Mus musculus: one gene and its partner. The protein of the gene in region 2 purifies or fractionates together with the protein of the main gene of each other region. This does not show direct contact. Links are inferred from orthologs where the notes say so. Each region holds a gene or a part of one and is shown on either strand. Other genes may lie near its edges.

Evidence for each region. The genes of interacting proteins can lie anywhere in the genome.
Region 1: the proteins of Asxl2 (region 2) and Ogt purify together in Homo sapiens (affinity purification with mass spectrometry; 3 studies listed by BioGRID and IntAct, with this or other methods). This does not show direct contact. The link is inferred for Mus musculus from reciprocal best matches to the Homo sapiens genes ASXL2 and OGT.

The regions. Positions count from the first base shown.
Region 1 is NC_000086.7:101,643,007-101,646,574, forward strand, and holds part of Ogt (UDP-N-acetylglucosamine--peptide N-acetylglucosaminyltransferase 110 kDa subunit), read left to right. Parts: coding exon 1-150; intron 151-940; coding exon 941-1,184; intron 1,185-3,568. UniProt on the Homo sapiens protein: Catalyzes the transfer of a single N-acetylglucosamine from UDP-GlcNAc to a serine or threonine residue in cytoplasmic and nuclear proteins resulting in their modification with a beta-linked N-acetylglucosamine (O-GlcNAc).
Region 2 is NC_000078.6:3,471,795-3,475,362, forward strand, and holds part of Asxl2 (putative Polycomb group protein ASXL2), read left to right. Parts: intron 1-2,695; coding exon 2,696-2,819; intron 2,820-3,568.

The sequences.
Region 1 (3,568 bases), on a different chromosome or scaffold from region 2:
GTTAGCTGAGTTGGCACATCGAGAATATCAGGCAGGAGATTTTGAGGCAGCTGAGAGACACTGCATGCAGCTCTGGAGACAAGAGCCTGACAATACTGGTGTTCTTTTATTACTTTCATCTATACACTTCCAGTGTCGAAGGCTGGACAGGTAGGAGATGCCGGGGTAACCTGCCTCTTGGTGCTGAGCTTAAAAATGCTAATTAAATATCTGAACTTCAGAGTTTTCCAGTGCTGGGTTTCATCTGAGCCACCAACGCAACATGTGCGCTCTTGTTCACTTTTGACATGCCTGGTTGCTAGTTTTCCCCCGTTTTGCGGGGGTGAACATATCATCAGTATGACTAGGGTCTTTTCCCCCAGATTTTGTCACTTGAGGATATTCTTTTCAGGTAATTATTCTTAGTGTACATCTGAGCATCCAGACCTGTCAGCTTGAGGGACTCTGGTAGGAGGGGCATATGTAGCTCAGATTGGAAATACCCTTATTAAATTGTTGTTGCTTTTAGCTAATTAATTGAATTAATGAAAAGAGAAGAATTTGTGCTATGGATATCTTAGTAAATTATCATTTTGGCACATTTAACATGAAGATGTGTGTTTTTAAATCTTTTTTTTTTCTGAAACAGGGTTGTGTCTTTAAATCTTGCCAACAAATGGAAAATGAGACTCATATGCTTTTTATTTTTAATCTTAATGATGTTATACAATGTGGCAGTTTGGTAGTAGATTTTAATAAGAATTTTCATACATAAGAACCAGCTTTCTTATATGAAATGTGGATACTGTAACCTTAGGAAAGTTTTAGTTTTCAAACTTTTTTCTGCTGTTTGCTAGTTAAAGGATAATGTTCCATAGCACAAGATTTTCCATTGCATATGAGCCATGCCTCCTTTTCTCTGACATGCATATCCATGCATCAACACTTTTTATTTTTCCAGATCTGCTCATTTTAGCACCTTGGCAATTAAACAGAATCCCCTTCTAGCAGAAGCCTATTCGAATTTGGGAAATGTGTACAAGGAAAGAGGGCAGTTGCAGGAAGCAATCGAGCATTATCGACATGCCTTGCGGCTGAAGCCTGATTTCATTGATGGTTATATTAACCTGGCAGCAGCCTTGGTAGCAGCAGGTGACATGGAAGGAGCAGTACAAGCCTATGTCTCTGCTCTTCAGTACAATCCTGTAAGTAAACGTTTATTAGTTGCTTTCCTTTCACAGCACTCCAGAAAACAAACAAGCATCGTTTGATACTTCAGATAATAGGGGTTTTTTTCATGAAAGTCAAGAGTTGAGAGAGATGTTTATATACTTGAAATGATGAAATAGCTTTGACTTAGTCTGCATGACATCAAAAAAAAATCGATTCTATTTAGGAAGTTAAAAAGCATAAAAATGCCGGGCGGTGGTGGCGCATGCCTTTAATCCCAGCACTTGGGAGGCAGAGGCAAGCGGATTTCTGAGTTCAAGGCCAGCCTGGTCTACAAAGTGAGTTCCAGGACAGCCAAGGCTACACAGAGAAACCCTGTCTCGAAAAAACAAAACAAAACAAAAGCATAAAAATTATCCTTACCAAAAAGTCTGACCAGTTATTTCTAATGCTAATTAAAACTTAACACACGTGATTTTTTTTTTTTTTTAAAGATTTATTTATTATTTTATGTAAGTACACTGTAGCTGTCTTCAGACACACCAGAAGAGGGAGTCAGATCTTGTTATGGATGGTTGTGAGCCACCATGTGGTTGCTGGGATTTGAACTCTGGACCTTTGGAAGAGCAGTCAGGTGCTCCTACCCACTGAGCCATCTCACCAGCCCGTGATTTTTTTTTTAAGATTTATTTTATATCTAAGGACACTGTAGCTGTCTTCAGACACACCAGAAGAGGGCGTCAGGTCTTATTACAGATGGTTGTGAGCCACCATGTGGTTTCTGGGATTTGAACTCAGGACCTTCAGAAGAACAGTCGGTGTTCTTACCCGCCGAGCCATCTATCTCTCCAGCCCCATACGTGATGGGTTTGTGTGTGTGTGCTGTTTTAATGAACTTGGATAAATTCTGATGGGTATTTATAGCAGTTAGTTGATTTTTAGGAATGATGGATAAAAGGTCTTAATCTGTAATATAAAATTTTTTAAAGGTGCTAGAATATTAGTAACTACAAAACGTTCTGAATACCTCCCCTCAGTATAGTCACAAGTAATAGAATTAAGACAATTACAGATCTAGACCAGACTTTGAATTAGCTCTTCAATTTTTTTAAAGTCTAAGTTACATGTGTTTTCGTGGAGAACAAGTATTAGAGTCTGTGAAAGATCAAAATATAGTGTGTAAAACAAAACAAAACAAAAGAAAAATTTAAAAAGCTACAGGATGTAAAAATTGCCCTGGAAACTGTTGATGGTAATGAAGGGAAGGTGGCTGTAAGCTTTTAAGAGGTAAGTAGTAGGGGTGGGGGATGGGTCTTGGCATGCACTTGAGTTAAGTTGACATTGAGCATGGAATCACCCTCGAAGTGCTTAATGATTAACTGCCATTATTGAAAGTCTTCTACAAGCTCAGACACTGCTGCTTCAGATAAATGTCCTCTGAGTCTTTACCATGATCCTTTGGTGAGGATGGCATTATTTCTAGTTTTGCCAATATAAAATCCCCAGTAGGCTTTGGGTTATGTAAGGTTTTTGAGATCACATAGCTAGCTAGCAATGGAGAAGTGGATGTTGAAACTTGAAGTTGAATTATCAAAGCAAATGTTGACATGAATGAAAAATGAAAGCTAAAAAGGGCCTTCTTTGCCCCAAAGCAGCCATTGAGCACAGCCTGGAAACCATTAGACATATAAGCCTGCCTCTTGACTCTAATTTTATAGTTTAGGAAACTGAAGCTTATTTTAGTAGTTTGCCAAAACTCTGTGATCATTTTTCATCTTAATAACTTTTTAGTAATCATTTTGAAAGTTAATTTTGAAAATTAAATTCTATTGTTTTATTTCAAAAAAGAAGATTAAAAAATCACTGTGGAATGCTATTTTAACTTTCTAGATGTTCTGTATAGAGCTTGAGTCAGGGCAAGCACTCATTTGAGTGGCTACCTTTAGTTCAGCTAAATGGCGCTTTTTTTTTATTTGTGAGTTCATTATAATAAACACTTTTTATTCATTGCTTTTTGATCTAGTGAGAAATTGCATAGACTTGGAGATAATTAGAGCAATTTCTCGTGTGTTCTTTCAGAGATATTCAGTGTATATTTGAACTTAGAATGTATTTGTAATTAGTTTTAGGCAGCTAACCTTGAATGTGTTGCCTGTGGGGTTTGGACTTAATTCTTCCTAAGGCACAAGCCTTTCTCTTGTGTGCCCAGTTGTCACAGGATAGTACATTCTTTTCCTTTAGTAATCAGGTTTTTTTGTTTGTTTGTTTTTTGAGACACGGTTTCTCTGTGTAGCCCTGGCTGTCCTGGAACTCACTCTGTAGACCAGGCTGGCCTCAATCTCAAGAGATCTGCCTGCCTCTGCCCCCCAAGTGCTGGGATCAAAGGCATGTGCCACCACGCCCAGCTTCACGGTTTTGT
Region 2 (3,568 bases):
AAGCAAGCCACTATAACTTTGTTAGGAAGAAATTTTATATTATCTATTAAATTTTAAATGTACATGTACCATGAACATGGAATTAAGCATTTTAGGACTTAGGTTAAAATATATATATACAGAAAAATATTTGCATAAAAGCTTGTTAATAAGCTGGGCGTGGTGGCACACACGCCTTTAATCCCAGCACTTGGGAGGCAGAGGCAGGCGGATTTCTGAGTTGGAGGCCAGCCTGGTCTACAGAGTGAGTTCCAGGACAGCCAGGGCTACACAGAGAAACCCTGTCTCAAAAAAAACAAAAAACAAAAAAAAAACCACAACAACAAAAAAAGCTTGTTAATAGTAAGAAGTAGCAAACAGCCTAACTTAATATAAATTTTATCATATATTGTGTATTTTGTATGTATTTATTATTCATATGCCTAAGATAAATCAATTAGGGGATTATATAGACATTTCTATTTATAAGATGTATGATTATAAAGGATTAAAAGTTTATGCTGCAGAACTTTGCACTATGTAGTTTAGATATGACACAATTACCAAAACATGCCTCTCATGCAGAAGACCCACATTGGGCTGTGAGAGTGCTTCCTCTTCTTAGAGAAGACTTGGGTTTCATTTCTAGCACCTACCTCAGGTCACTCACAATTCAGCTCCAAGGCCAGAGCCTGATACCTTTTTTGCCTCTATAGAAACCTGGCCACACTTAGCATATACTTAGACACAGACACACTTGAAATTAAGTCTTAAAATCTTTTAAGGGTCTGGAGAGATGGCTCAGGGGTTAAGAACAATGGCTGATTTTCTAGAGGGTCCTGGCTTGATTTCCAGCACCCACATAGATTCCTTATGTCCTTATGTAACATACTTCTGAATTCAATGAATATTCACAATAAAAATATTTTTAAATTCTAAGGCCCAATGAGATAACTCACTGGATAAAGGTGTCTGTACTGCCAAGCTCAGTTCCCTGACTTCTGTCTTGGGTAGTCACGAGATAAAGGAGAGCACCACCTCAGATACAGCACCCTCTGACATCCACGCACATGAGTGCTCCCATGAGTGCTCTTAAATAAGTAGTTAATAGTGCTACTTACAAAATGTACAGTAAGAGTTTTAATATATTTAGTAGAGATATGAATGTATGATAAAGAATAAACTTTAATAAAGATAATTGCCCATAATTATCCTTGAGGATTGTAAAAGAACACTTCAGTGATAGTCAAAAAAAAGAATTTACCTTTAAGTTTGAATTAAATTTTTAAAATTTATTTCTTGTTTTTTATTTATAATTAGAACCCATAATCTTTATATCTTGAGAGTGGGTTTTACTGTGTGACCTGAAACTCAAATCCTCCTGCTTCTACCTCCTAAAAACTACGCTGAAAGATGTGTGCCACCACTCCTGGCCTGGAGCCCATAAACATTTTAAATCATGTGAGTTTTAAAGTATTTAAACTAAAAGTTATTTTAAGAGTTATTTACAGGATCAGACATGATGGTCACACACAATTATGAGCTGTCATGAGATTTGGGAGTTAAACCTTTGTCCTCTGAAAGAGCAGCACATCCTTTCAACTGCTGAGCCTCTTCCCAGCCCTTGATTGCATGTGTGTCTGCATGGAGGTATGGCCACTATGCGGCATGTGTGTGTATACATGCTTTAATGTCTATGGGAATATAAAGATGGATGTATGTTCATGTCTTCATACTTTATATCCGAAAGTTTCATAGGTTAATCACAGCCACAACTTTCTCAGATTTGAAGAAGAGAACTTTTGGTTGTTGAACTTTTTTTTGGGGGGGGGGTCTGTTTGTGTGTGCATGTCTCTCTGTATATATATGTATGAGTCTTTGAACACACCTAGAGGTCAGATAACAACTTTTGTGAGTCATTGCTCTTCTTCCAGTGCGTGGGTCCTAGGGATCAAACTCTGGGAGCTAGGTTTGAAGAGGGATTCCTTTACCCACTGAGCCATCTCACAGGCCTTCTTTCTTTTTAAATATTTATTCTAAATAATATATCAAGTTAACTCTATTAAGAAATTAAATGGTATAAAATAACCAGAAGATAAGTTACTGAGACTTAGACAAATGTTGCTCTTGTCCAAGGTAATTTAACACAAATATTTACCTCTGACCGTATATTCAGGTCAGACTAAGCTGTTACTGGTGCATGACTTACAATTCTTTTTTCAGATGTGATAAAAGTACGTGTGCAGTTCTCTCATTAGAAGATTGTAAATTCCTTGCCTTTCCCCCCCCCCCCCAAGTTTTTAAGTTTGGGAAAAATTCTAATGATTTTTTCCTTGTATCTATATATAAAAGACTAATCTTGGCCTCCCCTCAAAGTGTCTGAACTCTAAAGGTCATTTAGGCCTTGCCAGTTTTGTTTAATTTAAGCTTTTGTTTGCACTGAGTAGATTTCAGAGTAGGTTCTCACCAGTTTGCTTGGTGGTTGTTGTTGTTGTTGTTGTTGTTCTTTTTTTTAAGATTTACTTTACTATATGTAAGTACACTGTAGCTGTCTTCAGACACACCAGAAGATCTCATTACATATGGTTGTGAGTCACCATGTGGTTGATGGGATTTGAACTCAGGACCTTTGGAAGAGCAGTCACTGCTCTTAACTGCTGAGCCATCTTGCGAGCCCAGTTTGCTTAGTTCTTACTGTCGGGTTTTTTCTTTATAGGCCTTGAAGCAGCAACAACAGAAGAAGAAGCAGCAGCAATGCAGACCAAGCATGTCCATCTCCAATCAACACCTCTCTCTCAAGACTGTCAAAGCAGCCAGTGACTCTGTACCTGCCAAACCTGGTAGGCAAACTGAGCATTCACCCTGTCCAATGGAATTTTTCCCCCAGCATATTTGTACTTTTGATATTATAAATTTTTTTACTGAATTTTTCATTTTTAAATTGCTATATTTATTAGCATAATCTTTCTGCTGCCACAGAATCCTAGAAAAAAAAAAAAGAAAATACTTTTATATGTAAAATTACCATGCACTTAATTCAAAATATAACAGTGAAATTTGGGTATTTCATTATTTCAAATTAATGAGAAACCCCTGGAAGCTTAAATTCATTATACGCACGAACGCACGCGTGCACCCGTTTTGTTTCCAAGGTCAAAGTGAATTCTTTGTCTCTGTGTGTACATGCAGGTTGGGGGTTCAGAGGATGGCCTCAGATGTCATTCCCCTGCACCATTCTGCTTCGGGTGGTTTTGTTTTGTACAGGGTCTCTCATTGGCCTGGAGCGTGTGGTTTACTCTAAACTGGCTGACTAAATAACCTCGGGAATTCTCCTATCTCCCTTTCTCAGTCCTGGGATTACACGTGTGCTGTAATGTGGTTCTTTGTGTGGTTTCTGAGGATCAGACTTAGGTCCTTATTTAATAAGAACTTTCTGCATTTAATCATCTATACAGATCTAAAGTGAACTCCTTATCAATGCTCTCATTTAAAATATGAAGATGAAGCTGGAGAAATGGTTCAGTCATTAAGAATGTGTACTGCTCTTGCAGAGGGCTTGGTATTAGTGCCCACCATCTACATGGTGGCT